4 linked regions of the Canis lupus familiaris genome follow. The protein of the gene in region 4 interacts with the protein of the main gene of each other region in a pairwise test. Links are inferred from orthologs where the notes say so. Each region holds a gene or a part of one and is shown on either strand. Other genes may lie near its edges. The genes, in order: TAX1BP1, MID2, APEH and LGALS8.

Region 1 (6,898 bases), on a different chromosome or scaffold from region 4:
TTCTAATTTCAATTTAAATTTATCTTACTCAACCCTCCAAGATAAAGACTCACTTCTAAAATTACTCTCTGCTGTACTTCATTCCTCAGCCAAATATCCAAACCAAGCTTTTCCATTCATCTTCTAAAACTGATGATCTGTCCCAAACAAGTCAAATTCCTTTAACATTTTCACAAACATACCACACACACTTTCCCTTCATTCCTTCCCCCTTATAGCTACCATCCTGCACTTTCTCTTGCTTCCCTAAAATATTGTATCCATCAAAATCATCCTAGAGGGCAATTTGCAGTACACCTAAATGTTTTAAAACGTGCAATGCAATAAGCATGGCAATTCCACTCTATTAAACATGATTTATTTTCTTGAGACTTCCCGCACGTATTCTGAAATTTTTACCACATACCTGAAATTCCTATCAAGTTTAAAAGTATTATCCAGGCAATTCTATAATCCAAGCGCATTCCATACCACTGTATTCATTTATGTAAGTATTATTTCTTAGAGAAAAGTTACAGCACTTGAAGTGCACGTGAGATAAGAGTTTGGCATTACCAAAGTAAAAAATAAGGCAATTCCCGGGATCAAGTCCCATGTCGGGCTCCCTGCATGGAACCTGCTTCTCCCTCTGCTTGTGTCTCTGTCTCTCTCTCTCTCTCTCTCAGTCTCTCATGAATAAATAAAATCTTTGAAAAAATAATAATAAGCAGGCTATGACCAAAAAAAATGAAGTTACATATACAGAAGCTTTATATGGGGAACCTGGGTAGCTCAGTTAAGCGTCTGTCTGCAGCTCAGATCATAATCCCAGGATCCTGTGATCAAGCCCCACTTTAGGCTCCCTACTCAGCATGGGGAGTCCGTTTTTGTTTCTCCCTCTGCCTCTCCCCCAGCTCATGCTCACAAGCTCCCAAATAAATAAAATCTTAAAAAAAAAAAAAAGGAAGCCTTATATGGCACACTGGTAAAGTTATTTGGTCTTGGCGTTATTCTACAGATAATGAAAAACTAAGAGTTTGAAACAAAAAGAAGATATGTTCAGATTTTCATTTTATAATATAGTTTATATACAGTACTTTGAAGAACAGATAAGGTAGGGGGACAAGAATGAAAACAGGGAAAACAAGTGCAATAATTTTGGAAAGGGCATAAAACTAGAGCACTGATATCACAGATACAAAAATACATATGCAATAAAATGTAAAGAAATGGTGTTTGAATAGATTTGAAAGGAAAGTAATTAGCTTTTGGCTTAGGCAATAGGCCATTAACTAAAAATTGAGGGGAAAAAAAAACTTCAAAGGAAAAAGGTAAAGATTCATCTTGAAATGCAATTTATCATACATCAGCCTACATACCTACATATGCAAAGACATCCCATTGCCCAAAATAGAAACCTACATTTTAATTTTAGCCTATAACTAAAGGTCTCCATAGATAGTCTGAAGCTTAATTCCAACATTACCTCCCTCTACTTTCCTAAATGAAGGTCATTTTCTAGTCAAACTAACTTGTCTCAATAACATTCTCAACTCTGTGGCTCTGCTTATACCATTTTCCTGCCAGAAATGCCCCTCCTTTCCCTCAATCTTATTTCCTTGCTCTACTTTTGTCTGACCAATTCCTATACAAAACACCAATTTTCACTCAGCTTCTTTAACTTGATAACCCATACTTCACATAAAATCAAACCAGTACTAACTTCATAAAAATGCTTACAATGAATGTATCCCCATTTTGGAATTTGACTCAAACAATAAATAGATTAAAAAATAGTAAATGATTCCTCTATCATCAAAATCAAGGAAGGGATTCAAAAAAGAAATGAAACGTCATTAGATGCCAAAACTTTCTTTGTCCAATAGTTTTTCGGCCCTCCTCACTCTAAAAGGCTGACTTTCACTTCTAGATACCTGTGTTTCATTCTGGCAGCTGTTCTTTCTTTCTACTTTGTTGTAACTTATACACACCATGCAATCAAAATTTCAAGACCCTTAAAATCATATCTAAAACTCATTCTGAGGGAGAATCTAGAGGAACTGAGGAGAAAAGTTTTATTATTTGGACATTTACGACATTTTGATTGTTGAAAGGACACTTTTTAATTTTATTTAAGTAATCTCTACACCCAATGTGGGGCTCAAACTCACAAACCCAAGATCGAGAGTCACATGTTCTTCCAACTGAGCCAGCCAGGCACCCTAAGGACTCACCTCACGTTTTAGTTATCCACTACATTCTTAAGAGTTGAAATTGCCAGTAAATTTCTAGCACAGAGAAGCACCACCATAAAGATCACCTCAAAGTAATTCTCAAGCAACTACTATACAAAATGACTAGCAAAAGGTAAGAACTGGGATTCCTGTCATCAGAGAGTTTACTATTTAGTCATGTAAAAACAGAATACTCTTAATAAAATGGGGCAGCCCGGGTGGCTCAGCAGTTTAGCACTGTCGTCAGCCCTGGGCCTGATCCTGGAGACCCAGGATCAAGTCCCATGTCGGGCTCCCTGCATGAAGCCTGCTTCTTCCTCTGCCTGTGTTTCTGCCTCATGAATAAATAAAATTTAGAAAAAAAAAAAAAAAAAAGCATAAAATGACATGAGCAATAATTAATCAACGTAGAATAGAAAAATAACACGGCTGTAGAGTTGTATAAAATTAATTATAAATGACTGAAGAGATAGTAAATGATAAAGCAACTCAAAGGAAAAGACCTTTTTTCAAATAAGGAATGGAAAAAATGGAAGGGAAAGAAAGGTTCCAAAAAGTGTTTCACAGACCTTTTGATCAGAGAGACGGGCAAAACTGGTGAACTTTAGTTCCCAGTATCGTATACCACCCTGCACTATTAGGTGTTTCATGTTTATAAAGCATTTAAGTTTACAAATGTAAAAAGACCCTTATCGCAGAGTGAAGACAAGGCTAATACAAGCTACTTATCAACCTGCTTAAAAAGAAAATAGAGTACCTATACCTACATGGAAGAAACATGCAACAAACTGTTCTTACCTTGAATATACCAACCCAATCTTTTGGATGTGGATGGATATATGGAGTTAAGGTGTAATGACATTCCAGGTGTGCATTAGGAAGATAACTCTTGGCCACATTTTGAAAGATGACATGGGCAAAGTTGGAAGTCTGCAAGGGGACTTCTTGAAAGGATGTCATTGTGAATCTGAAACAAGCAAATCATACAAGTTGAATGATACCAACTAACACAAAGTTTATACCTTCAGAAAATACACAAAACTAAATGCAAATTACAAGAGCATCTGCATGCCATAATTATTGAGAAGACACACACTTGGAATTCCTCCTTAAAAACATGATTGAGGGCAGACCCGGTAGCTTAGCGGTTTTGCACCGCCTTCCGCCCAGGGCGCGATCCTGGAGATCTGGGATTAAGACCAACGCCAGGCTCCCTGCATGGAGCCTGCTTCTCCCTCTGCCTGTTTGTGTGTGTCTCTCTATCTCTAATAAATAAATAATTAAAAAAAACATGATTGAATATATAAAAATACAAACTGATGGAATGCCTGGGTGGCTAAGTGGTTGGATGCATCTGCCTTTGGCTCAGGGTGTAATCCCAGAGTACCTGAGTCAAGTCCCACATCAGGCTCCCTGCATGGAGCCTGCTTCTCCCTCTGCCTATGTCCCTGCCTGTGTCCCTCATGAATAAACAAAATCTTTTTAAGAAATAAAACTACAGGGGATCCCTGGGTGGCGCAGCGGTTTGGCGCCTGCCTTTGGCCCAGGGCGCGATCCTGGAGACCCGGGATCGAGTCCCACGTCGGGCTCTCGGTGCATGGAGCCTGCTTCTCCCTCTGCCTGTGTCTCTGCCTCTCTCTCTCTCTCTCTCTCTCTGTGACTATCATAAATAAATAAAAATTAAAAAAAAATTTAAAAAAAAAAAAAAGAAATAAAACTACATCTGCAAGACATAAATGTTTCCCATATTTTGTGCTCTACTTTTGAGAAAAAGGATACAACTGAGGATTTACTCAAAAAATCTATACAGTATCACAGACTCAGTACAATTATTGATTGTATACTACATATAAGAAACTATGACAATGTCCCTATAGTACTTGCTCCTGTATCATCATAAAAATCCCCATAATGTGACAGGAAAACCTGGGCAAGCTTTTTGCTAACCAAATGAATCTAATTTACTTTATAAATCAATAAAGTCTCTATAGGGCAAGCACAGCAGTTAGTCTCTATTCATATTTTAACTATTAAAATCTTAATTGTTAAGATTGAAGACAACATGCTTATACGTTTCTTTTGCTGACCTGTTTGAAACACTAAGGCAAATTTTCAAAATTTCAAGATAAATACTTCAGAAAATATCCACTTTTCTTCTTGTATCTTCTCTGCTTCTGTTAAAGTACTGCTTTACTGGAACAGTATATTAGACATCTCATAAAGAGACTATCAATGGTGAGCCTGGGAGCCACCATGGTAGAGTACCAGTCTAGTTGTCAGTTAGCCTCTCCACAACCTGAGCTTTGCCAGGATTCCAATGCAAGGAGAGTGCATCCAGTAGCAATCCTCCTGTCCATGGCTTATTACCAGCAGCCCTATTTTACAGAAGGATTTGACTATCACTATTATGCCAAAGCCATCAATAAAACGAAAAGATAGCACTTACATACAAACACTGGGAACGCTGTCTAAAATAAATGAAGAGTTTTATTACTTTCTTTGAATTGTCTGAGCTAATTTGGGCTCAGGGGGATGTCATGATGCTAATAAAATCACTAATGATAATCGCTTTTCAAGTCAATGGTTATACTAGTTAAGAGAAACAATAGCTAAAAATCAATGAAACCAACTTCTAGCAGATCCAACTACCAAAACTGAGACAAATGAATGAATCAGTAATATATTTCTAGGGAGAAAATAAGTATTTAGGATTCTCTGAGGAAAACATTTAGTAAGGAAAAAATAAGGTTAGCTTAGACTGAGTTGCCAATGTTTTTTGCTAAAAGTAATTTAAGAATGAAACTTTTTCTTAAGACTTAACATATTTCCTTTTTTTTTTTTTAAGATTTATTTATTTATTCACGAGAGACACAGAGAGAGAGAGGCAGAGACAGGCAGAGGGAGAGGCAGGCTCCATGCAGGTCTCCAGGATCACACCCTGAGCTGCAGGCGGTGCTAAACCGCTGTGCCACGCCACCGGGGCTGCCCTTAAGACTTAACATATTTCCTAAAGTAAACTAAATCAACAAAGCTGTAATTGTTATAAAACAAGTCAGTGAAGTTTAAACTTTTGTTTAACCTCAACTACACTGTTTTAAAAATCTATAATCCAATCTTACACTTTCGCTTCACTGAAAAAGTAGAAAGTAGGAAGGTATACTTCCTACTATGTATTTATGTATTTATGTATATGTATTTATTTATGTGTATGTGTGTATATACACTTACAAATGCATCAAAAAGGACTAAAAAATACAAGAGTTAATAACAAATGCATCAAAAAGGACTTAAAATAAAGTTAATAGTCTTTACTCATGAGGGACTATGTGTGAAGACTTTTAATGGATTTTTTATCAGTATGTATAAACTCATCTTCATTTTAAATCAACATATTGACATGAAATTTCATTTTAAACCTTCCCCCATTCAAGTTTTTAATAGAAGACTCTAACATCAGACTTTAAATATATTCATGATTATAAATCTTTTTTTTTTAATTTTTATTTATTTATTTATGATAGTCACAGAGAGAGAGAGAGAGAGGCAGAGACATAGGCAGAGGGAGAAGCAGGCTCCATGCACCGGGAGCCTGACGTGGGATTCGATCCCGGGTCTCCAGGATCACGCCCTGGGCCAAAGGCAGGCGCCAAACCACTGCGCCACCCAGGGATCCCCATGATTATAAATCTTAAGAGTAAAATAATTTGTGACCATTCTATTAACCTTATTATCTCTCCCCAACACTCCAATCTAAAAATTTCAGTGCAACTATAGAATTGTTTCACAAGTCATTCCATTCTCACGTTTTAAAAACTTTTTTTAAAAATTAAATTCCAATATTATCTTCTAGTCATAAAAAGTAACAAGGGATAATGTAATCTGAATGCAATTACCACATGAATCAACCCATTTTAAATAGTAAAATAAAATTTCCCATATAATTCCTGTTTTATACGTATGCAGATAAAGAGGGCAAGCTTATAAAAATGCTAAAATTTATTGAGAATGTCAATTTATCAAGATGATTCAGACAGATTTATACAATATCCATGCTCATGCGCACGCGCACACACACACACACACACAGCCCAGTGGGGAAGTAATGTGCAGTCACTGCATCACCTTGTGGTAATGCTTGGGAAGTGTAGCTTCACTAACATCCTGAGAAAAGACACTGCACCTTAGCTGAAGAGGAAACATAGCCCCTTTACACACAAAGGGAAGTAGAAGCTGCTGTACTATACCAAATTTTGCTTCCCATTCTCTTAACGTACATCTCCAGAAACACAGGTACATTAAGATGCAAGCCAAAGGCTAAACAAAAATTTTCCACTCAAGGGCAGCCCGGGTGGCTCAGCAGTTTAGCACTGCCTTCAGCTCAGGGCATGATCCTGGAGACCCCGGATCGAGTCCCACGTCAGGCTCCCTGCATGGAGCCTGCTTCTCCCTCTGCCTGTGTCTCTGCCTCTCTCTCTCTCTCCCTGTGTCTCTCATGAATAAATAAATAAAATCTTAAAAAAAAATCCACTCAAGAATTAAAGAACCAAATACATTAGCTGAGAAACAAAGTCTGAAATGCATATATATATATATATATATATATATATATATATATATATATATATATATATATAAATGTCTGCAAGTGCCCTCTTCCATGTTTTCTACCATATTCCCCAAAGGTA
Region 2 (8,392 bases), on a different chromosome or scaffold from region 4:
CAACCACATCGTAGGGAGTGCAAATCTGGACTTAAACACTTTGCTTATATGATAATTTTGCTACTGTGGCTCAGTACCTAAGTGAGTCAAATTGAGAAACAAATTTTTCTGCTCTCTCACCTTTAATAACCCAACCCGGCCTCTCTGAAGCTTCTTATCATGACGATTTATGGCATGGCTCATTTATTAGGGAGATCCTTAGTCTCAGCATAGGTTCTACCAAGGCCATAATCCTTATTGGGGGCACCATGCTTATGGCCTTACACACCAGGCATCCTCAACCCAACTTTTCTACAGATATGCCCACAGAAAATTAACACAGATGCTCTCCTCCCACACAATGACACACGTAGACATACACAGACAAACAAATTGAGTCATTCTCAGCTGCTCAACTATGCAGAAATCCACACACTCATATATGGTGACACATACATATATATGCAAATATACTCTCTCTCAACCCCGGCTTTCATAAAGATATTTCTCTCTTTCTCTTATATTAATAGTCATACTGGTTCCGAAATAGTAAAATGCCCAGTGGTAGATAAGATGAGAGGGTATCTGTCTTGGCAGACAGAAGTGGGTGTCAAGTGGGTGAGCAGACAAATGACTGGGAGAAGGTGGTGGCTGAGTGACAATGGGTGGGTGGATGACAGAGTGACTGAGTAGGAAGAAGGGCAAGCAATCAACTCTGATAAGATTCTAGAATATCATATCATATTTTCCAACCTTTTAACTGGCGTTGTGGCTTTCCTTTGAACATTCTCCAAGTCTCACATCTCCCTTCTCTTTGTCTAGCAATCTTGAGCTCTGTCTCAGCCTCTCTTTCCGTGTGTGTGTGTGTGTGTGTGGTGTGTGTTTCACTTTCCCATAACAAAAAACTTACTCTGGTGCCAGGTAATATTTTATAACAACGAGATCCCTGGTATGTAAGTGCAACTGCATTTAAGAATTATTTGTAGTAATGAATTTGTGGAAATGTAATGAGAAAAAGAAAATGTGCTTGTTTATTCCTTTCAGGAAATTCCTCTATTCCCCCTGATTTTCATCAGCTATATTTTTGGCAGGCTATGGGCATGGAAATGTGAAGACATCACTCTCAAAGAGAATTATAATAATCACATCTGATTTATACAGATGTCACCACAGGGTTAGGCAGTTGGAAAATCCAGTACTCCAAATGAATAGGCACTTAAAATTAAGGACATGCCATACTTTTGCTAACACTCTGGTTTTTAACATTATCAGGAGTTTGCAGGAGATTCTTTTTTTTCAGACCCCTAAAGTAGTCATAATGGCAAGACAGATTTATATCTCACAAGATGAGAGCTAAGGCAAGCTATAGACACTGCTATATTTCCCACAGATCCATTATTAATATTCCACTCATTTGGATTTCTTGAGCACATATTATGTGTGCAAGACACTAGGAGGATACTGAAGAAATAAAAGATAATGCGTCTGGCCTCAAAAAATTTATGGTAGAGCTGGGATGTGTTGGGGTGGCCTTGAAGGGTTTTAGCTGGGGACTAAAGAATTGGTAGGATTCCTAAGCAGGTCAAGAGAAAGAGCACAATGGGCAGCCCGGGTGGCTCAGTGGTTTAGCACCACCTTCAGCCTGGGACATGATCCTGGAGACCCAGAATCAAGTCCCATATCCGGCTCCCTGCATGGAGCCTGCTTCTCCCTCTGCCTGTGTCTCTGCCTCTCTCTCTCTCTCTCTCTCTCTCTCTCTGAGTGTGTGTGTGTGTGTGTGTGTGTCTCATGAATAAATAATAAACAAAATCTTTTAAAAAAAGAGCACAGGTCTAAGTTAGGAGTCATAAAAGAGAATGAGTGGTATGTTTAGCAGACAGGAAGCTAATCTGGGCAGAATAAAGGTACTACGTTTGAGAGTGGTAGGGGGCAAAGATGGATGGGTAGCATGTGAACTAAGTTGTACCAGACTTAGAATATCGAGTTGAGATCTGTCATCAATACAGAGCCACTGAAATTTGACCTCTTTTTAGAAAGCCAACATTCATTTTTTTAAGATTTTATTCATTTATTCATGAGAGACACACACAGAGAGAGGCAGAGACATAGGCAGAGGGAGAAGCAGGCTCCATGCAGGGAGCCTGATGTGGGACTCGATCCCAGGACCCCAGGATCACACCCTGGGCTGAAGGCGGGTGATAAACCACTGAGCCACCCAGGCATCCCTAAAGCCAACATTTATTAATGTAATAGTATCGATCTTTTCTACAGGGAGAAACTCATGAGCCAATGAAAACTCTTAACACGTGAAGCATTTTTATAGAAATGTGGCCACATGTCATGAGCTAAGATCATATATTGGGACACATAAGTGGAAAGAGAAGGAATGGAGGAAATAATTACTCTGATAGGCCTTTCTACTGTAATAACTGTTGGGAACAAAACTATTCTTTGAAATTGAAGAATTAATTGAACCACTGGTTGCCTTCCGAAGGACATGTAGTTAGAATGGACAAATAAAGAATGATAATAAACCATAGTAAGTATCCCAAACCCCCCTAATCCACTTTGAGCACATGTTAAGAAGACAGGCTGGCTTCTGGTTATTCCGACCTTTTGTCTTATAACATAACAGTGTGTTTATTCTTCATTGAATAAATAAATACTGGAGACCACTAATCCTACGGAGGGAAGTTAGTACAAATAGGGTAGTTATAAAGGCCAACAGTGAAGCTCCAGAACCAAAAAGGACAAATAAACACCATTTCACTTATGGGCCAAAAGTAAAACCCCTAGATATATGTACTATCATACCCCCCCCCCTTCTCCTGTAGGACTCCCATGCTCTTCAGGGCCAGAGGAGTATGCTCAAGGCCATCTCCTCCATAGCTTCTGACAACCAGCTTCCTCCTTTCTCCTTGGGGAAGAATTCGGCAGATTAAGGGAATAATCCCAAATGCTTTTCTAAATTAAAATTAAGCCAAAGAAGTGAGAATATGTGACACTAAGTCAAACTTCCTCTCCGCTTAATATGGAGAACTAATAGCCCTTTACACTTGGACACCAAAGTGATCCTCACACATCTAACACACACACACACACACACACACACACACACACACACACACAGAGCAGCAGCAGCAGCAGCAGCAACAGCAACAGCACCTCTCCCTCCCCAAAGTCCAAGATGTTCCAGACAATATAACAAACCACACAGTTGGGAATGATTCATATGTTTCCACTCTCAGTCCAAAAAATGAGCAAAAAAAAAAAAGTTTCCGCTTAATTTAAAATCAGAATTTTCTGCACATTTCCTTAAAAAATTAAAGGGGAACAATTCAAAATCTGGCCTTTCTTTCTCCAAAAATTACTGATTAGTTACATACTAAATTATCTTTTGGTAAAATACTTTTGTGCTGTGTCCAGCCCTAGAGACTTGGGCTATAGCTACATTATGCCAAATATCTAATCAATCATCCAGTGTTTTCATGTTTTCGGATGTTTTCAAAATCTGGTGTTCTGCAGATACAGGCTTATTCTATCCAGTCTTTTGTTATCTCAATCATACATATGGATACAGAGTTTTCTGTTTGGAGTATTTCTCAAGGCCAGTGCCTTATTATAGTTCCAACACCTGCAAACATTTGGCAGAGACTGTCCCATCCTCTCCATATCCCCTACTCTTCCTGCAACCCCACCTCCATCTCTTGCCATTATGAAGCTGTAAGTTTATACAGTATGTCCTTTCCTTGATGCTGTTAATCGTTTATCTGTGACCCATGAAATGTACAATTGCCAGAGCATAAAGTTAAGTTTCAAATCACATTTCATGGGCAAAACTGAGGTCCAAAACAAAGTGGCAGCAGGCTACAGCAGAAAGGATACTTAGAGTGCAGAAGCTGAGTTCCAGTTCCAATCCTGTGACTTTGACCAAATCACTTAACCCCTCAAAGTTTTAATTTATACCACATGACAGTGTAAGGCTTTGACTAGACCAAGTGCAAGGCCTGGCATCCTAGGAGTCTAAGAATGGAGTCAATGAGATTATTCCTCACCATAGTCTGGAAACGAGTAAGAAAATCACCCTGAGTGGAATCCACAAACATTGAACTTTGTACAAATCTGTACATATTAGATATAAATAAAAATCACAAAAGGCACAAACCACTGTCAGCGTGGCCACTCTCAATATCGCTTGCAACAAATTATGGGAGGGAAAATATATCCCATCCTGAGTATTGCTATCTTCACCAACCTCATGAAATGTTTACATGAGTTACCATGACTTGTTTGGGGCATGGCAAGAGGAAAATCTCCACTTCCTTTCTCCCCTCCTCCCATCCTATCCTCTTCCTTCCACCCTGATCTATCTAGCCAGTCCCTATTTGGGGGGTGGTAATCTCATTAGTCACATAAACATTTTATTTTCCTGGAGTTTCTGCTAAACAGCTCCCTTCTTAAGAGAAGTTAAACCCTATGGCAGGCAGGCCATGGGAATAAAGCAATTTGCTGGAGTTGACATTTGTTAACATCAACATGAGGCAGTAGGGTTTTACAAAATAGGTGCTTTGACTTGCACATAAATATTATATATACAGCATGACAACTTTGGGAAACTCTGTCCAATGAACGCCAATGAAATACTGGAAACTTCCAAGGCAGGCAACTGCAGCCCAGTGCTTCAGTCTCCAACCCACACACACTCAAAAAGAAAAAAAAAACTGCACGTTGGCACATCTAACACTGGATTAAATACTTATTGCCTGCAGTTGAAATTTTGAGTTCAGACAGCTGATTATCCCTCTTGACTTCGTAGTAAACTGAAGTTCCTTTTTTGTCTTTTGTTCTGTTTTGCTTTTGCTTTGTGAGGCAGGCTTAGAATCAGCCCTGTGCTAAGGGCTGGAGGGCAATTTTTGGCAAGCGGAGTGCCAAACCTGTTTCTTTAGCATGTCGAGAGGACAAACACATGTACTACTGTCCTCCACCAAAAAAAAAAAAAAAAAAAAAAAAAAAAAAAAAAAAAAAATCTCTCGCCTACATAGAGATACACTCAGACGCCTCCACCCACACCTCCACAGAGACACACCCAACCTTCCCATTGCTATACCCGCACCCAGGCATATCAGCACGTATGCTAATTACAGGACACCTACATAGGTACTCACATACCTAAAACAGGCGGAAAGATCATGACAAAGATAGATAGTGTGCAATATGTCACTGACAGAGGACAGACGGTGTTGTTTCTCTGGGCAGGCTACGTGTGGTACGGGCCAGAGGCTAACTCATCCAGAACTGGCCAGAGGTGAAGGGATGCAACAGGTTTGTGCCACTGATGAAGCAGGTCCCAGGGAGAGTTTGTGAGTGAGTAGGCAATTCCTCACGAGAACAACTTGGGAGTTAATTGACTTGTTACATAGGACAAGTGGACCTAGCTTGATTAGGGAACTTGCTAAGTGTGTATAACAATTGTGTGTAGAGACCAAGGTGTATAAGAGACATTTCCCAGATCCCTTACCTTGAGTTTCTCAAATCGGTCATTCAGGGACGCAACCTGATGGTCTCGGTGACGTCCCACCAGTTTGCATAAGGCACAGATCAATTGGTCATCAGATACACAATACATGTTCACTTTCTCGTTCTCGTGGTCCAGGCAGGTGATCCCTCGAAGGTGGGTGTCTGGCACGGGTTCCACCAGGCGGTGGCTGGTGAAAGGTTTCTTGTTGGGGTGTGTGGCCCGCAGGCAACGGTCACAGTAGGAGACCTCACAGGTGATGCATGTTTTCACTGCATCCCTGGGCGGGTCCTGCTCACAGAATTGGCAAGCAATTCGCTCACTAGACATGGCAGTGCTGGGCCTGTAAGTCCTTTCCCGGCGGCTCTCACTGGGGGAATTGGGCCCACTGACTGAAGCCTTCTGGAAGCGATCGATAATGTTCTGCAGAGTCACATTCCTCTTGAGGCCATCCAGGCCCCGGTGGTTCAGCGAGATAACATACCTGCATGTAGGACACTGGAAAGCAGTAATGGGTTCAATGGATTCACCAGAGCTGCAGCTTGAGACCAGGATGCGGTGGGCACAGCTAAAGCAGAGGCTGTGAGCGCAAGGGAGCAGAAGGGGGTCTTCGAACAACTCCAGGCAGATTGGACAGGTCAATTCAGACTCCAGTGTTTCCATCTTTAGTGAAAATAATCCTGCTGAGGCATTAAGAACCACAGAGGCTCTGCTTTCACCTGCGAGGAATACAAAGCAAGAGTCACTAGGCGTTTCCGAAGGAAACGTGGATGTAGCACAGTCACACACTAGCCAATGGAGGCTTTGCACGCTAGCTTCTCCAGTGGGGCTGGAGCAATAGGAAAGCAATCTGGGAATTAATCAAAAAGTCTTTCTGGGGAATCCCTGGGTGGCTCAGTGGTTTGGTGCCTGCCTTCAGCCCAGGGCATGATCCTGGAGTCCCAGATATAGTCCCGCATCAGGCTCCCTATGTGGAGCCTGCTTCTCCCTCTGCCTGTGCCTCTGCCTCTCTCTCTCTCTCTCTCTCTCTCTCTGTGTGTGTGTCTCATGAATAAATAAATAAAATCTTTTTTTTAAAAAGCCTTTCCCTACCCCCGCTTCAAACCTTGTTTTCAACAAATGTGCGAGTTTATGTTCCTGCACTAATAAATAGAACCAAGTAGTCACTTCTGAATCCTGGTTTGCTGGCTGACATAACTATTCCAGCTTATGAGACCAGTGCAGATCAGACCCCTCACATATTAGCCACTGACATCTCTGGTCCTGGACTGTGATGAGCCTGAGGCCCTGCAAAATTCTCAATCTCCATTCTCCAATACTGGTCTGTATTTTTCCTTCAAGGTAAAATAAAGGGGCTGTGCCTATTTCACATCTAGGGGAAGGAAAAAGGGCCATATTTCAAACTCTCTACTTCTTGAAATGATTCCATTCTGAGAGCTTGGGTGAAAAAGAAGAGCAAGCTTTGGAAAAAAAGGACTGCTCAGCATAGAATAATAAATTCTTCAGAGTGTGAACTCTAATTATTTCCTGGTGTCACTCATGGAAATTCCTGTTCTGTTCCAGTTCTAGTAAACTGAGTTACTAGAGATAAATGGTGCTGGTTTTCACTTCCTTCCTTCACCTTCAGCAAGCTCTTCATCTCATCAAGCTCAATGAGAAAGGACTTCCACTTTTCAACAAACTCAGCAATAGATGCTGATCAATAATGAAGACATATTACCTTTTGGTTTCAGCTGGGTTTTATTATTACACATTCACTGAACTAGCACAAGCCTACCATGAAGCTCACCTCCCCGTGTGTCTTTTCATACTTCCTAAAACATAACAGGATGCAAATCAACACCCAGATATAAATTAGCAAGGCGAGGAGCCAGCCAGTTCCACATCTGGTAATTTTCATTTTGGTATGTGCATCGCAGAGTAAAAGAAGTCACCCAATTAATGAAATTAATGAAACCAATCTCTTGGTCAATCTATCTCTTCTCCCACAGCCATTTCTGAGCTGAACATAATAGATATTGCCATGGGTCTTCTGTTAATTAAAATGAACACACATAAATGTTCTAAGCTAGCCTTAACTAAGGAAAAAATCTATCTTATCGACAGAAGGTGTTAATCTTATTTTTAGAAAAGAGAAAGCCGTCTTTGGCTCGTGAATAACTTTTGTTCATCATCTTACTATCATGGAAGACCCTCACTGGGGCTTGAAATTTTGATTCTGCCACTGAATAAAAACACCAGATGCATCCCTAAAAGCTGTTTCTAGATCAAACCTCTTAGGTGCACTAAACGAACTAGCTATTTAATGGAAATCTATAGGAAAAAGTTTAGAGTAAAGTAAAAGTAAAGAGTCTTTCTGGCAAAACAGCCACTCATGGTTGGTTTGGTAAGTTCAGACTGTATAACTACATTTTTAAAACATGAGACATGCAGTTATTCTGTTTATGATTTACAAGTGCTACAAAATTGTTGGCTGGCAATATGTAGTTTATAATACCTATCAGCATTCACCAATAGAGATGAAAGAGTACAATTACATTGTGCCTACATCACAAGACCTTAAAAGTGGAAGAAACTTTTAGTTAGAGATGATGGATTCCAACCTTTGCTCCAGGCAGGAGTATATCCTTTGATTGTTCCACTACTCAAGTTCAACATGGCCATAAATGAACTTGCTATCCTTCCTCTCTCCTCCCTCCCCCACCCAAAACCCAAAACACCTGTTCTTCCAGTTTTCCCTATCTGGTGAATATCACTAACCAAGCCTATAAACCTAGGAGTTCTCTCATTTACATGTTTATCACCACAACCACTAGTGGCTTCCAGAACCTTCTGTTTTATTTCATTTACATATCTCTGTCTCCAGCCAACTCTCCCTGCCCCTTAGGGCATCGATTG
Region 3 (8,166 bases), on a different chromosome or scaffold from region 4:
AAGCCACCATGGGAACCACCCATCAGAGCCACTCGGTCAGCGTCAAAGTGTTCCTCCTGGAGCACCTGCTCTACTGCAAACTACAGGGTGGGGCAGAGTGTGCTGCAGCTGGCTGCCCACCTGAATGAAACACACCCCAATACGGTTGACCCTCCAGCCTATCCAGAAGCCCCAGCCCCTGCTACCTGGACATCCTTCACATCCTGGTGGCCCACTTTGCCAGGAAGGGAGAGGATGCTGTCCTGGCCAAAACCCGTGGAGCCTCGATAGTTCACTGGAGGCCAGGGAGGAAGCAGATAAGGTGGTCAGTGACATTCCCAGCCCCCTGGATGCACTTTCATCCCTTGTGAAGTAGGCCTTAGGGCCAGCTGCACCACAGACTGTCAAGGCATGGGGCCAAGAGATTTGAGGCTATTGCCCAGTGACCACAGTACCATTTCCATGGAAGTCCCATGTTATTTCATGTTGTGACCACGCCGTGGAGCCTGAGGCTGGGCCATTACCAGGCTGCTGGTGCCAGGCTGCAGACAGGCCCGGAGACTAGGGTGCTACCCGTGGTGCTTACAAACCAGGCCACCCATCACCCTCCACAGCCCTACCACTGCTGTAGGGCTCTGCTTACTCACCTAGGAGTACTGCAAAACCCATCTTGCAAAGCATGGCTGGGAACAGCATCCAGGCAGTGACAAAGGATGAATGGGGTCCCCCTGCAGACATGGAGCAGAGAGTGAATGAGCCAGCTAGGATGGGCAGTGGGAGGGCAGCAGCTCTTAGACTGGATGCTTACCGTGGGGCATGACCACCATGGGCACTTGGGTCTTATCTGGAGGGTTGCTGGGCTGTAGAAGGATTGCTTCAAAGTCAAGGCCAGCTGCAGGGAGAAGGCAGGAGTTAGCAGAGCCAGTGCTGCTGCTGAGGTGTTTCCCCAGCAAAGGCCTGAGCTGCAGCTGCAGGTCTAGGGCTGACCTCTGAAAGAAAGATCTGGTCAAGGTAGCCTGCATCAGGACACCTGGGACTCCAGGTGGCTCATACTCCTCCTGTCTTAGTTGGGAGACCCACTCTGTCAGGACAGCATTCTAGATGAGATGTGGTCAGAGGCCTCGAATAAGGTAGCATCTTTGGGCTTTGGTTTCCCTACCACAGAGGATCTGGCCTGGTGATGCCCAGTCCTGATATCCAGACTAGGTGCCCACATACCCAGGCACTACTCCCCATGACCATGCACAAGAAGAACAGGAGGTCTCTTAGAGGTAATCCCAAGAAACGTCACAATGTGAGGGAGGGGCACAGAAGGGGTAATACGTGCAGGGAACTTGGGAGGTGTCCCTCTGCCCTGGCCCAGCTCACCGAACTGTACATTCTCTTGCTCTGGGGGTGGCTGCAGTACCCGGATGGCCCAGGAGATGTCAGAAATAGGCTCGGCCTCTTCCAGGGACACCCACAATACTGTCTGCTCCTTCCCGGCAGGAGGCAGGAACCCAACTTTCTGCCAAGGGGAAAAAGTGTGTCATAGGTGGCTTGGCTGCCTCTGCCACGTGGGAGGTGGGCAGCTCTCACTATGCTAGGCCTTTTACCACCTCGAGGGTACATCATAGACTAATGCTGTGAGCCGGTATATGCAGAAGCACTCCCACATAAACACACACCCTTCCCTCCTGAACTTTTAGGCTCTGCTGTGTCCTCTGCTGTGCCAGAGGACTGGGCACTTTCCTGGGTACCCTATTCTTTATAGAGCAGACCTACACCTGGTAGTAGCTCCCCATGGGTGCCAGACCCCTATGGACCATGCTGGGCTGGGACCACTTCTCGGCCTCCCACATGCTGACCAACCGCAGTCAGACTCAGGCCAGCTCCCTGACCTGGGGAGCTCTGCCTACACAGAACCCTCACTTCCTGGTCCGGGGCCCACCAACACTCACCAGGCTTGGGGGCAGGCTGGGCGTGGAGAACTGTGCCACCATGAGGTCCCGGTCAATTGTGAGCAGCTTCCAGCTTCCACCTGACCCCCCTGGAGAAGGCAGATGCCACCACCTTTCCCCCACCCACTCCCTGCACAGTCAGAGCCCCAGGGCAGTAGCTCTATGTCAGAGTGTCCCTTTCATCCCGAGAAGCAAAGGAACACCCACAAAAGGGTTGTCACAAACACCCAACTGCACACAGCCTTGGGTGAGCCTCTTGCTTAGTACCTCGTTCAACCAGCAGATGCTAAGCCCAGGGACTGGCAAATCTGGGGACACAGCCGACCATGGCATGTCCACCTACAACTTAGTGATTGCAATCAGCAGGGGTGGCAGGTAGGCCTAGGGGGGTGGAGTGGTGCTGATTCTGGGCATTGGGGTCCAAGGAAATTCTTAACCAGGGACTGTATGATGAGATACAATTTAGGAACAATATTTTGGAACTTCTGTGGAGGAAGGACTACAGTTAGGGCAGGTTGAGAACTCAAGATATTTTAGGGGCAGAATCAAAGGCCCAGATAAGAGAAGGATGAGGGGGCCAACGTAGAGTTTCTCATGGGCCCTGGGATAGCAGAGTTGCCTTTGCCTGAGGTTTTGGAAGTTGGGGGAAGGATGACTCTGGCAGATCTTGGCAAGAAAGAATTTTGTAGGTTTGAGAAGCAGGGGATGTGCTGAGTCAAGGCCTGGTTGTGCAGAGCAGAGTGGAGCAGGGGAGGCAGTCTGTTGGCTGGGAAGGTCCTGCATGGTCAGGGTCCTTGCAAGATGCAGTAAAGGCTGCGGGACAGTCAGTGGTGCAGAGTGGCCAAGGGTGCCACTACTGCCCCATGTGCTGGAGCTCCATTCCCACCCCTGGCCTGGCTGGCCTGCTCACCCGCCCTGCTCACCAGCGGTCAGGGAGGTCACACTGCCCATCTGGGTGTCCACAACAAACAGATCCTGAGGCAGAGGGGAGGACACATGTGGTACCACATCCAAGAGCCCTATGGGTCCCTCTCCCACCTCTCGACCCTCTTAGGGACCCCTGGGCCAGGCCAAGGCTGTGAACAACTATGGCAATGGCTCTTTAGTTGCCACTGGTAGTGGTATGGAGGCCTGGACTCAAATCCCAGCCCCATCACAACTTGCAGAGTGACTCTGGGTAAAGCAAGGAATGCCTCTGAGCCCCTGAGCTAGTATGAGAAACAAATGATATCACACTAAAGAAAAAGAATCTTGGCACACTGTGAGTGTCCTTACCCACATTTTTTCTCCCCATCTCCATTAGCTCTCTGTTTAGTGTTTGGGGACCCACCTGGTGGCAGCTGCCTCGTCCCCCAGCTGGAAATGCCTGGGGGAAGGGGAATTGTACCTCAGCCTCAGGAGAAAAGGCCAAGGGCTCTGCTGTGGGGCACCAGAGCAGGCAGGCAGTCTCCTTAAGAAAAAGTCCAGGACAGGGGCAGGCAGGGCCTAAAGGGGCTTGTAAGACCTGTGGCAGGGCATTCCACCCAGCAGTGTGTATATGCTATGCCCTGGGCCCAGGGTTCCTGGAGGTTGGTCGGGGGGCTGCCTCTCAACATAGGGCCCCTTACCTGCCGGCTACGCTGGGCTGAGTCAAAAACCACTCTCTGGCTGTCAGCTGACCAGCATCCCAAAGGCAGAAGGCTGCAGTAGATCCCAGAGAAGTTCTCTGCAAAGATGGGAGGGCTGAGGCCACATCCAGCAGTGGAGGTATGGGAGGTCAAGCCTATGAGGCCAGCTGGGTTGGAGAACTCTCCACCCCCCAGAACCCCTGCAACTGTGACAGAATGGCAGTCCTATACATGGGGGTACCTGAGGTGATAAGGGGCTGCCTGAAGAGGGGGCTGGGGGCAGAGGCCTCTGAGTGCCAGGAGAGGCAGAGCTCAAGAGCTTCTGAGAGCAACCATAGCTGCTTGGAAGAAATGCACTGGGTCTCCTATGTGTTGCTCTTACTGAGCCCCTGGTAGGCACCAAGTGCTATAACCAAGATGATACTGTCTGTCTGTCCATGATGGTGCTCAGCAGAATGCCTGGCAGAGGCACTCTGAATAGATCTATTCAGATCTATTCATATAGATCTATTCAGACCTATACTCTGAATAGATTTAGAGGGGGCTGAATAGATTCCACATTTGATATCACTCGTTTAACCCTTACTATAATGCTATAAAGAAGACAGAGGCTACCACCACCCACAGATAATAAATGGAAGCTCAGGGAGATGAGGATGCTGTCCGAGGACCTGTCATGGTTAAGAAGAGATCCCACTGACTCAGCAGCTTAGATAGGACAAACACTACAGTGGGGGCTGGGAGCAGGACAGTGTAGCACCCTTGAGCTTGTGGCTTCTCCAGGACTTTCCAACCTAGTGTGCTTTCTGAGGCCCCCCCTTGAGCAGAGGCTTTAACCAATCACTGGAAACACAAGCTCTGCCTAGGAGTTGCAGCATGGAAATGAAATCATCTAAATCGGGCAGCCCCGGTGGCGCAGCGGCTTAGCGCCGCCTGCAGCCCGGAGTGTGATCGTGGAGTCCCGGGATCGAGTCCTACGTCAGGCTCTCTGCATGGAGCCTGCTTCTCCCTCTGCCTGTGTCTCTGCCTCTCTCTCTCTGTGTCTCTCATGAATAAATAAATAAATAAAATCTTAAAAAAAAAAAAAAAAAAAAAGAAATCTAAATCCCCTGCCACCTTGGGCGACTCTGATCTCAGCTTTGGTCCTGCTGACTTGTATCAGAACTGTTCCCTAAGGTGAAGGTTCTGTTCCCCATGCAGGCTGGACACGGGGCTGGCCCAGCAGGGTGGGACACTTCAGATAGAAGCCAGAAAAGAAGAGCTGAGGCAGCTGGCCCCGCACAAGGATAACAGATGGCAGGAAAACAGAGCTGTAGGCTCTGCTGCACCTAACTGGAGACATACCCCTTACCTCCCAGTTGCCGAGGGACGACATCCACCACCACCGAGGTGACCTTGGTATACCAGTCATACTGCAAAAGAACACACTGGTCAGGCCCACCAGGGGACTGGCAGTGTCCTGAGGGCACAGAGCTCTTTACCCATCCTCTTCTCTGACCACCCTGGGTAGCCTCGGGGGAGGGGAGGACCTGAGACAAGCCTGATGTATTTCTTTTCTGGTAACCTGGACAGATGCCCAAAGGGGCCTGGGACTTTCCCAAGGAGTTGCTCTTGGGCAAGGACTAATACTTTGTAACTGCCAGCTACATCCCAGCCCCTTGTTGAGCCTGATCACGGGCAGATGAGAAGCAAAGGGAAGAGCATTCTTGTAGATAGAGGAGGCTCTAAGGTGGCGGGTCCTGACAGTGCAAAGCCCCATGCCAGCACGCTCAGCCTCTAGGTCCTGCCCTAGGAAGACAGACAGAACTCACACCATCACTGCACCCAAGACAGGAGGTCCAGTGAGGGGCCCATGGGGAGATGAAACTGACCCTTCAGCTCCCATCCACCATCGTTTCCTTTTGCTCACCACTCCCCACCCTCCTCCAGCTCACCAGACACAGCTGGCTACACTGATGATGGGGGACCAGAGATGGGTACCGCAGGTAGACAATGCGACACTGGTCTGGGCTCAGCCGGGGAGAAGACACAGCCAGAGAGTCATCTGAGAGAAGCTCTAGACCAGACGAAAATGTGAGCATCATGCAGGCCGGTAGGGCCAGTGTATGTGCCAGCAAAGCACAGGTAGGCACCAGCACTTACCACATTGACCCCCAGTGAGATCCACATAGTATAGGGCTGACCTGGAACCACCAGAGAGACACTCAGTTTCAGGCCAGACTAAGCTGAAAGGCCCCCTGCCCTGCCCCGCTTCCTCACCTGCGATTGGTGCAGAAGCGGATGCCCAGCCGGAAGGGCTCATGCCACCAGCCTACAAACACCACGCCTGTGTCTCCAGGGGCCCAGAATGCCTGTAAACAAAACCCCAGGGCAAGGGTGAACAAGGGGCAGCGGCTCAAGCAGGGCCCCCACACTCCCAGGAGTGAGGCAGGTTGAGTCAGTGCTAACCTGTCCAGGGGACACACTCTCAGGGACCCCTTCAAGCACAGAGATGTTGCCACTCTCGACATCCAGCACGCAGAGCACAGGAGTGCTTTTGGAAACCATGTTTTCTCCCCAGTCTTCATAAAACACAAACTGATCCCCCTAAGAATACAAAATACTCAATGTCCAGCCTGTCTTTCCTCCCCAGTTCTGACAGGCACGATGTGGGCAGGAAGCACACCGAGCCCTAGGCGGCCCCGGAGGGCCTTCACGGACTGGCCATAAACATGAGCACCTTGATGGCCTGGTCTGGTTTCTTCGGCCTGGCCATCTCCTCATCACTGCTGCTGACGTCCAAGGCTTTTGTCTGAAAGAAGGACTCAGTCTTCGGGCGCTTCTTCTCTGCCACATACAACAAGTGTGTCTCCGAGTGTGACCAGGACAGGCAGCCAAAGCAGTCTGGGTGTAAGGAAGGCTGATCAGGGGGAGACCTGGGTGATGGCTGCCCCTCCTGTCCACCCTGTCTCTCACCAGCCAGCTGCCTACCGTCCTCGTACACAAGCCCATGTTTCTCCAGCAATGACAGGTTGAAGCTCTTGAGCTTCCGGTTCTTCTCCCAAACCTGAGGACATCTGGGTGTCAGGTTACCTGCCCCCCCCAACAGAGCCTCATCTGTGGGACTGAGCCCCCCGTTGCCCACCACCTGGTCCCATACAGACTCACCTCCAGGAACTGCTTCTCCTCCCCAGGGCTTGTGCCTCCAGCCTTGCGCAGCACAGCTTTCATGGCGCCCGAAGGAGAGTCTCTGCTCAGCAGCCTGAGGAGGACATGGGGTAGGAAGTCGGGATCACCACCCACACAGTCCCATCCTGCCCCCTTATTGGCCACAACCTCTTAGACAAGATTCTTGAGACTGGTCTCACCTCCGCCCCTACAGCCCTTACAGCTCCATCATGGCAGCTGGCCTTGCCTCTCTTGCCTGGGGCACGGGCTCTACTCTCCCCAGCCCCCCTGAAGCTCCATGGGCTCTAGTTCAGGCTCAAGTTTGAACAAAGTCTCCAGTGCTCATCAGGCCATGTCAATTGAGACCACATGAGCTCCCAAGGGGCAAGAACCTGGCTCCTAGTCTTCCTTCAGGGCCCTACCTGCACCATGGCACATGGCAGGCCTTCATAAAAGGCTTGCAGATGGCTGTGGCCTTGCCCACAAGCTTCTTCCCTCAAACTTACTCCCCCCGGGTCTCCACACTGTTGCCTGCAGGCCCTGAGAACACCACTGAGTCCCCATCATGGAACACCAGGTACTGGCGGCAGAATCGAATGTTCTCCATGCGTTCCAGGTCCCTCTGGGTCCACTCTGTGAGGAGGCATGAGACTTAATTTGAGCTGACCAGTCCCAGTACAGGCTCCTTTCACCCCCTCACAAGGAAGGAAAGCCCAGGCCACCTCTGCAGTCTTTCTGGATATGCTGGAAGCAGGAGGGACAACACCTGGCCACAACTCAAGTCTAGGCCTGAGCTAACAGCATGTCAGAGAGAAACCACTACTGCTCCCAGCTCGTACTCCCACCCTCATACTTGAGGGGAGGCTGGCACATGTATGGGATATGGTGAGGGGTGAGCCTACAAGGCCCACACCGTGTATCCCGGTCTGAATTCTATTCCCACACCGTCAACCATGCACTCAAAGGCATCGTGCCTTAACACACCGGGCAGCGTCCCTCACACACCTGTATGAGGGTGCACCCTCCTACACCCACTTTCTGCAAACCACTCGAGTGCACTGTCAAGCAGCAAGCCCTCCACATCTCCCGCTTCTCCGCGAAAGTGCACCGCCCCGGAATGGGCCCGCCACTCGATCCCCCTCCAAACACACACCGGTGTGCACCGTCCGGTAGCGGCCCCCGTACTGCGTGGTGACATCCGGGCCCAGGCTGGCGGCGCTCAGCGCGGGCTGGCGGCTAAGGCCCCGGTACAGCGCCGCCGCCTCCTCGGGCTCGTTCAGCAGCACCTGCGCAGGGGACACACGAGGGTCAGACCCGGCCCGGGCTGCAAGGACCACGGGCACCGCGGGCCGAGCCCTCACCTGGCGCTCCATGGTACCTCTCGGCCGCCGGGGCGGGGCGGCGCGTGCGGGCGCCCGGAAGTGAGGCTCCAGAGGGCGGGCTGAGGAGCGGCTCCGCCTGCGCCACAGCCGTGCCGCGGGAGGGGCGGAAGC
Region 4 (8,392 bases):
GGTAAGATTACTCAGTAAGTACTGACAGCTTCTTTTCAAAGCACATTGATATTTTATATTCTTTCCGTCAGAGAATCCATTTTATGTCTTTAGTAATACCTCCACATGACACAAAAGTGAACATCAAGTGTGTTTAGAAATGAAAGGAAACGATGTATATGGGCTTTTATTTTTCCTTTAAGAGCCCCATAGTCTGCATCTCGTTCAAGCCCTCTGATGTTCTTTATGGAGGGAAAAACCCCTGGGGGATTCCTTCTTCAGTTTTCCCAGTGAAAGTTAGGACCCCAACTCTGCTCCCCACGAGCTTGGCAAGACGCAACATAATAAGTTAACATGAATAGAAAAGAATTAAGTGCCAGAAGCTTCTACACTGAGTACTTATAAAAAATCAGATTGCTAGTTGTCTTTTCAGTATATGGGTACAAATAATATCTAACCAAAATCTTTAAGGAAAATATTCCTAAACACTGGCAGCATATTCAGCCCAACAACTGAACATGATAAAATGATCAAACCGACTTAGCTTTTTTACCTCCCCACTCCCAAGCGTTTGAAATTTCCTATAACAAGATCTGACCTGTAAGAATTGTACAAATAACTGCCAACTCGCTTCAAAGAATAGGAAAAAATTACAGAAATGCAAAAATTTAACTTGCTGATACAGGTTTGATTTTAATCACTGAATAATGTTTTGATCTCCATTGCTAATGATGAGGGACCAATCTTTAGAACAGAGAAGTGGAGTTTATTTGCATGCAGACAAGCAAGAGATTTTTATACTGCCTCTCTCTACCTCATGATAGCGCCTATTTTACAGTCATGAAATCTAATCTTGACATTGCTTTGTTACCCATAAACATTTTACAGATTAAAATCATCTACCTTAAACTTTCTATTTGGAGTACATGTAAACCTCTTGACTCACCCTGAATTCAGCTACTCTAAAGCATTTCTGGTACAGACACTGGCGGCATAGACTGACCTCAAGTTAATTTTAATACCATTGGTTTTGTTTTGCTGCATTGTTTGCCTTAATCTTTGTACTGTGTTCAGATTTCATGTTAGAGCTAGATATTTATCCTGCTGAAGGAAACTGCCAGATGTAAGGCAACATCAGTCCTTTAATTATTGGATATGACTGAACTCTGGGTTTGAAAGCGATCGCTAGAGAAGTAATGTCTTGTAAATTAGTATGGAGGTAACTTCACAGCTCAGTAATTGTCTCTGGTTCCTTTATGCGTTAATACCCGTAGAAAAGTCAGTGGCACGATGGCAGAGCACAGAGGATTCTGAGCTCAAGAGAACAGGAACAGAGTGGTATTGTGCTCCACTGTATACATTTATCCCCAGCTCTAGCACGTTGCTGGCAAAAAAAAATAAGTGCTCAATATATGTTAGCTTCTATATGAATAGATACTTGTTGAATGTGAAGCAGATTTTAAAAAGAAGAGGCTGGGGTGGGAGAGAGAACAGAAATGCCTGAAAAATGACTAAGTTACTGTTGCCTCAGATTTCCTTACTCTGTGCTAGATAGACAAAGCCACACTGCATGGCAAGGACTGAGAATACCTAGTAGGATTTCATATTATGCAAGCTCATTTTAACAAAATATACGTATAAACAATATAATAGATGCATTTTAACGAAGCCAGTGTTAACATAAGACATTTTGTATTTCAGTTTTTGTAGCAAGCATGTCAGCTACCAGCTCCTTACTTCCAGTAAATGAATATCTCCATCAATTTCCAGCGTGTCAATATTGCTAAGCTCTTTAAATCTGTGTTTGTACTCCAGGCTGTGTACACCATTTACCGCAACCTTGAATTCTCTAACATCACAATAAATGATCATCTGGAAGGAAAGTACGACAACATTAGTGGCTCCCTCAGTTCAACACTTTGTTTCTTGCACACTTCCGGGATATCAAAAAGTAAACCCACGGGGTTTGCTTTCTACAGAGACACTCTCCCAGCCTGCTGCTGCTAACTTCTCTTCTAAGACTCTTAAGTTTATCTGGTAGCAGCACCTTCTGCTTTGTCCCACTCAGAGAAGTCACTGAGCATGCTTGAAGCCTCACCCTGTCCCCAGGGCCTGAGGCCTCTCTCCTGCCCCTTGCTCCCAGCAAAGTGGAAAATTGCCCTCCACCCATGTTTGGGAACTGTAATGACAGGAAAACTGCCATATTGACACAGGGGAGCAGATTCCATAAGTGGGAAACCAAGGGACCTGAGCCATGACTTTTTTGCCTTAAACTCTAGGGTCTTAGACAAACCATGCATCAAAAATTTCAGAAGTTTAGGGCACCCTCTAGGACTGCCCAGCTGTGTGGGGACTGTGACTTCCATCCCAGCTCAGCACATCTTGGTCTCCCCATCCATTTCCCAAAAGCAGTATTCTGGGCAGTAATCCATGGAGGAATTAGCTTTCTGGCAAAGATTTAACTCAGATTCATGACTGGTGTTGGCCTTTCATGTCAGCCTTTCACAGAGTTGTCTGCCTAAAACTCAAAATAGTGAAAAACAAAAGAAACTACAATCCTTTTAAATCACACCTAACACTCATACTTCTGATAACACATTCCTGATGCCAGTCTGGCCACAATTCTACCATTTATTCTCCACCCACACTAAAAAGACCAGTTTGGTGAACCTGTACCATGTTCTCCCTTCTGCCTCTTCCCTGTGTCAGGGCTTCAGAAGAGCAGAAAGGAGCAGCACAGCCCTGCTGCTAACTCCGTTTCCATCCCCAGGATCTAGACTGAGGCAAATCTAAATCTGTAAAGACAGTGTGCAGGTTATTTTGCTTCTACTAGTAAAAGTGGCTGCTGGGGAAAATTCCATGGATAGAAGAGCTAACTAACAGAAACTGGGGCTACACAGAGAATTGGGAAAATATCCATAACCTGGGATTCTATCATCCCAAAAAGTGGTGGAAATCCCAGTTTTAACCAGGTGGAAGAAACCCTCAGTAACATACATTTAACGAAATCTCAAGAGAACATAAAGCACAGCCTAATGCCCAGAAGGGAAAACAAGTTGGCATCAGAGGGGTATACTGGGAAGAGTCCATCAGTCACCCTTATTGTACCAGAGCAAGCATGGTGCCACTGCCTCACAAATGGAAGGAAATGCCTATAGCCCAGGGAACATACTGCCGCAAAACAAGTACACAACTTGCAGAAAACAGACCCACAATCTCTAAGAAAACATGGAACAACAATCCTTTACAACCATCTGATGTTCTAGAATAGCTCATAACATTATAGGATGATAAAAAAAAAAATACAAAACTGAAAGATATTTCTCAAAAGACTCTAGTAGCTGGAACTAATAAATGAATTTGAAACAACAGAAAGTAGTGGTTAATATCAAAGTAACAGTATAATGAAATAATCTGAGAATCTAAATGAAAGCATATTAAAAAGATTGTTTTTTCTCTGCTTCCAACTCCCTATCACTACAGAAAACTAAAAACAATGGTCCAACATGAGAGTAATTACTGTTCCTGAGGCAGAAAACTAACAAAAGGAAAAGATTATTTAAAAGAATGCTTGTCCTTTTCTATTTTAACATAGAGCTAAACTTGGGGGTCGGATCAAAGAGCAACTTCTATCACTGGTTTCCTGTCACCAACCACAAGGATCCACGGCCTTCTGAAACAGTCACTGCTGTCTTCCCCACAATGAGCCCTCAGTCACCTTTTATACCTGGACTCCTGCCAAGCCAACAATCCCCTGGCTGCCCTCCCCACGTCCCCACCTTGCCCAAACCATTCCCTCAATCTGGAAAACCCACCTTTAACTTTACCCTCCTACATCCTTCTGAATTCCAAACCAATATCCACAACTTCCAGGAAACCTCCTAGGATTAGGTCACATCTGTTACTCTACATACCAGGAGTTTAGGAATACATATGAATGTCCGATTACCATCTTCTATTCAGCCTCGATGTTCCTACCTTTAACAACTAGTTTTGATGAGTCCTAATGGTCCAGAGCATGTGACAGTTTAAAATACAGAAGCATGACCTAAATCAATGACCCTGAATGACCACGTAGACAGTGCTTCACCTAAGCTAGTGAGTGAACCTAGCCAACCACCCAGCATCCACATTAAGGAGATTACTGTCTGTAAGCATCCAGAAACACATTTTAGGACAGGTTGTGTTACCATAATATTCACACATTTGGGGAACTTGGGACCATAGCACTTCCAAGCTCCAAGGGTCTAAAATCTCTTTCCTTAAATATATACAAGCAGGACTAACCTGGAAGAAAGGACTGCCACCTGAGGCTATATATACTCAAGATGGCAGGTGACAGAACAGGCAATTTTATGGTTCCTATGCCCTCATGTTCTCTTAGGATTATCCTAATCATGTTTCTCCGTCCTAAAGCAAGGTTCCTGTTAAAATTCCTATGAACTAATATGGGACCATCCAGTAATAATTCCAGTGCAAATAATGTAATAGTCCACTGGCTATGCCATTTATGCCAATCAAAATACCAACTGTATTTTGAATGCCCCTTTTATAATGCAGATACTCCCCAAATAAAAGCCACATGCAATCTCCACATATTAAGCTAGGGCTTAATTTTAAAAGACTTATTTCTCCTATACTTCCTCCCAGGATTCTTTGTTCTGTCCGATAAGATCATCTTACCTCAAAGTACATCCCAGGACTAAATGGGAAACAGGTAATATTTCTCTCTTCTTCTCCCCAGGACTCGTGAAGAAAAGAGTTTCTTACAAATGCTTTAATATTCAGGCGTGGGTTCAAGTGAAGAGCAATATCCTTTGATTTTCCTGATACTAGGTCAACATTAAAGCTTTTGAGAGAATTAAAAAAAAATTAACCAAGTAGAAGAGAGAAGTACAGTTTCTGCAATTTTAACAGTCAGAACTGAGCTCTGATCATAATTGCATAAAACACATGTGTGCACACAGACATACCAATGCAGATGGGAAGGTAAAATTTAAAATTTTGAGGGACACCTGGGTGGCTCAGCAGTTGAGCATCTGCCTTCGGCTCAGGTTGTGATCCTGGGGTCCTGGGATCAAGTCTCACATCAGGCTCTCCACAGGGAACCTGCCTCTCCCTCTGCCTATGTCTCTGCCTCTCTCCCTCTGTCTCTCATGAATAAATAAATAAATCTTTAAAAAATATTTTAATTTTGAGTTAGCATGCCACTGATGTAAATGTGCTCTCTGCAAAATAAAAATATAAAAAATTTTAACATCAGTGTTAAACACTTCAACACTGAAGCTACAGATCTGGATGGGAAGCAATTGAAGGATTAGAGCAAGTAACCGAAATGCTTGCTTTGGGCTACAGGAGGATGGGGTCCTTTCAAGTACATATTCTCTTTTAACATTGACAAGTGTTCTGTTCTTCTTGAAAGTGTACTACTTTCTAGGAAATAGGTAATTTCAAGCTTCCAGAAGTCTCAACGTCTCTAGAAAAGGTTCCTAAGGCAGAAATCGTATAAGTCGCATGACGTGAGGGGCCCTAACAAAAGTCACCTGACCACAGACTGACCTGAACCTTCTACAAGGCATGCATAGCTTCCCGGACAAAAACACCACCCTCTTATCTGGCCACAAAAACCCTAGCTCAAAAGAGAGGCCTTTACTCCTAATTCTGCCACCAGCTAGTTGTCAGCAGTCTTGTTAGCAGCCTGACTTCCTGTTGCTTTGAGAGTCTCTTTCAGGTGAGGATTAGGACACTACTCCTGCTTCCATCTCACAAGACAGGTAGAGCATAAGAGGCCATTAAGAGACACACATGGAGGGCAGCCCTGGTGGCTCAGCAGTTTAGCGCCGCGCTCAGCCCAGGGCCTGATCCTGGAGACCCGGGATTGAGTCCCACGTCAGGCTCCCTGCATGGAGCCTGCTTCTCCCTCTGCCTGTGTCTCTGCCTCTCTCTCTCTCTCTCTCATGAATAAATACAATCTTAAAAAAAAAAAAAAAGACACATGGAAAGCAGTCACACTATTCCTGGTAACAGCGGTACTGACCCTTTGGCAGTTTTATTCACTTCTCCTTTAATGACAACAGTTCGTCCAGGGCCCATTGAGGAGTTCAACCTTGCAGTGAATGGCAGAGTCTGAAGAGAAACCACAGTCAGCGCTAGGAAGCCTGCAGAAAGTGACCTCATGGGAAAACTGTCCGAAGACACTGGGCAATGGTCAAAAGTCATAATCCTGTAAACCCCAGCAGTCAGCACTGCCCGGCTCACAGTGGAAACTCAATGAAAGCATTTCAGACAAGGAAATGAATACATGTGAGGTGGGGCCTGAAATCCCTCGTATGAGTGAGATCCACTCTGAGAAAGATGCTATGCATGGGGTCCTGATGCCATGCTCCACCTTCTGCCTGAGGGGAGGAAGCTCAGATGGGAGGCATTACGGAAATACTTGCTCGGGGGCCCAGAGAGTCAATGCCCAGCTGACTCTTCTCTCCAGGGTCAGCACAGAAACGCAGAGTTGGCTGCTTTGGGCTTCTACTGAGGGTATGAATTCTACATTACCAGCTAATTAAAATTTAATTTGTTATACAGAATTAGGAAAACTTTTGGCTCTTCAAACCTTTGACAAACAGCTGGTAGGTAGTATTTTGGCGCAAGTCAAAGTGTGATTGGCAGTCGAATCTTTGCTCTTGGTGTAGACAGTTCTGGGTACAATTTTAGAAATGTCTCCTCTATTACTAGGCTGTTGGGGAAAGAGTTCTGCAGTAAGGTATGGAAGGAGTGAGGCTGTCTTCTAAGGTTTAAATATTCATGTCTTGGGTGATTTTATAAAACATTCCACGCTATAACTGAGGCAAAAATACTTACAAAATGTGGTGTGTCGGGCTTTAGTACCTATTGGAGGAGAAAGTCAAGATGAAGACGTTTGAAAGGGAAAAACTACATTTTATAACATGAACAGTCAGATCTTAATGGTTACAACAGCCAGAGCCAGGATGGTAGTGCCTGCTCAGCCCTGGGAATGACAGACAAACGGCCTGCACTTCCTGACTGTGGCTGGGGATACAGTCCTGGGGTCCTGGTCATCTTAAGCCTGTATACTCCGCCATAAATTAATTATTCACAGGACTATATGTGAACTTGAGACATGTTTTACTTGTTCTTTCCAAGGTGCTCCCAAAATGCTGAAATACTACATTCTATCTACGAGGTCACATGTTCTGAGATCATTAAGACATCACTTTCTCCCCTGATACCAAAGACTCGGTGTTTAAACTATACTTGTTCCTACAGGGGGGAAGATATGTGTGGAAGTTCATCTGCCAAAGCACTGTGCCCAGTATTTATAAGTACCATGTGACAGTTCTCTTCAGCAGTTGAGAGGGGTTTTTTACACAAGAATCACAGGAGGGGGCAGATACACTACAAACTCAAGGGTCTGCAAAACTCAAAACTCGAGAGTCTGCAAAACTCACAGAGCCTGGTACAAAAATATATGCCTTACTTTTCAAATGCTTACTTCCAGCATATTATTATTAAAAATAACCTTTCGCATTCAAAACATAATTTAAAAAACTTTAGCCTGCTTGCCACCTGATTTACATGACAACTAAGAGAGCATTTTTATTTTTAGTATTATTATTATTATTTTTTTTTTTTAAGAGAGCATTTTTAAACTGGTAGTTCATTCTTAGCTTTAATATTTACATTTTCTTTACTTATCTCTGTCAGTTCCAGAGTAGATGCTTGGGTACTTCTGAAATCCTGAAGATAAGATTAATTTTTAACAGCCATCAGAACTTTAAATACAACCTCCTTGACATATCAAAAAAGAATTATAAATAGTATTAAACATGAAAATATGCTTGAAGATCATGATCCAGAAATGTGCTTAACATTAGAGTCCTTCCCCACCCCCCACCCCCCATCAGATTGGCAAGCGAGAAAGAATACTAAGAACGAGCATCAAGAAAAGTGGGAGTAGTCCGGCACACTGCTGAGACTACATTGTTGGTAATCTTTCTGGAGGACGAGCCAACTAGCCCTCCAACTAGGATCACTTATAACTTAAAATGCAAATGTCCTTTAACTCAGACTTTCTACTTCCAGGAATCTCTCTAGAAGCCCCCACTGTACTTCCTATGTCAAGGAATTAGCTCCTGTTATAAGGGTTTTTTTTAATTGTTGTTAGAACCATACTAGATTTGAGATCCTATAGACATTAAAACCTAGCCAATAGATAACACACCACCAGCCTAAAAGATTTACCTTCAAGAAACTAATATACTAAGGACAGAGACATTGACAATATTTTTATCTTAAGATGTTAAAGATATTTCCTACCATTTCATCAGAAGACATCATCAAAGAAGACCCCAGGCTATGGAAGGATACTCACCGAGCTGAAGCTATAACCAATTGAGTG

Evidence for each region.
Region 1: the proteins of LGALS8 (region 4) and TAX1BP1 interact in binary tests that used the Homo sapiens proteins (3 or more experiments, as listed by UniProt). The link is inferred for Canis lupus familiaris from reciprocal best matches to the Homo sapiens genes LGALS8 and TAX1BP1.
Region 2: the proteins of LGALS8 (region 4) and MID2 interact in binary tests that used the Homo sapiens proteins (3 or more experiments, as listed by UniProt). The two-hybrid records come from large-scale screens. The link is inferred for Canis lupus familiaris from reciprocal best matches to the Homo sapiens genes LGALS8 and MID2.
Region 3: the proteins of LGALS8 (region 4) and APEH interact in binary tests that used the Homo sapiens proteins (3 or more experiments, as listed by UniProt). The two-hybrid records come from large-scale screens. The link is inferred for Canis lupus familiaris from reciprocal best matches to the Homo sapiens genes LGALS8 and APEH.

The regions. Positions count from the first base shown.
Region 1 is NC_049235.1:40,946,035-40,952,932, reverse strand, and holds part of TAX1BP1 (tax1-binding protein 1), read right to left. Parts: intron 3,181-6,898; 5' UTR 3,174-3,180; coding exon 3,012-3,173; intron 1-3,011.
Region 2 is NC_049260.1:81,979,725-81,988,116, reverse strand, and holds part of MID2 (probable E3 ubiquitin-protein ligase MID2), read right to left. Parts: intron 6,214-8,392; coding exon 5,498-6,213; intron 1-5,497. UniProt on the Homo sapiens protein: E3 ubiquitin ligase that plays a role in microtubule stabilization. Mediates the 'Lys-48'-linked polyubiquitination of LRRK2 to drive its localization to microtubules and its proteasomal degradation in neurons.
Region 3 is NC_049241.1:39,995,975-40,004,140, forward strand, and holds part of APEH (acylamino-acid-releasing enzyme), read right to left. Parts: 5' UTR 8,047-8,166; coding exon 8,035-8,046; intron 7,963-8,034; exon of another isoform or gene 7,960-7,962; coding exon 7,827-7,959; intron 7,307-7,826; coding exon 7,180-7,306; intron 6,768-7,179; coding exon 6,674-6,767; intron 6,573-6,673; coding exon 6,497-6,572; intron 6,410-6,496; coding exon 6,246-6,409; intron 6,113-6,245; coding exon 5,975-6,112; intron 5,878-5,974; coding exon 5,786-5,877; intron 5,710-5,785; coding exon 5,669-5,709; intron 5,583-5,668; coding exon 5,461-5,582; intron 4,939-5,460; coding exon 4,878-4,938; intron 3,625-4,877; coding exon 3,527-3,624; intron 3,286-3,526; coding exon 3,250-3,285; intron 2,895-3,249; coding exon 2,843-2,894; intron 2,009-2,842; coding exon 1,920-2,008; intron 1,487-1,919; coding exon 1,348-1,486; intron 872-1,347; coding exon 788-871; intron 708-787; coding exon 627-707; intron 275-626; coding exon 186-274; intron 81-185; and 1 more. UniProt on the Homo sapiens protein: This enzyme catalyzes the hydrolysis of the N-terminal peptide bond of an N-acetylated peptide to generate an N-acetylated amino acid and a peptide with a free N-terminus. It preferentially cleaves off Ac-Ala, Ac-Met and Ac-Ser.
Region 4 is NC_049225.1:3,918,788-3,927,179, forward strand, and holds the end of LGALS8 (galectin-8), read right to left. Parts: coding exon 8,366-8,392; intron 7,732-8,365; coding exon 7,675-7,731; intron 6,862-7,674; coding exon 6,835-6,861; intron 6,106-6,834; coding exon 6,017-6,105; intron 4,829-6,016; coding exon 4,663-4,828; intron 1,852-4,662; coding exon 1,702-1,851; downstream 1-1,701.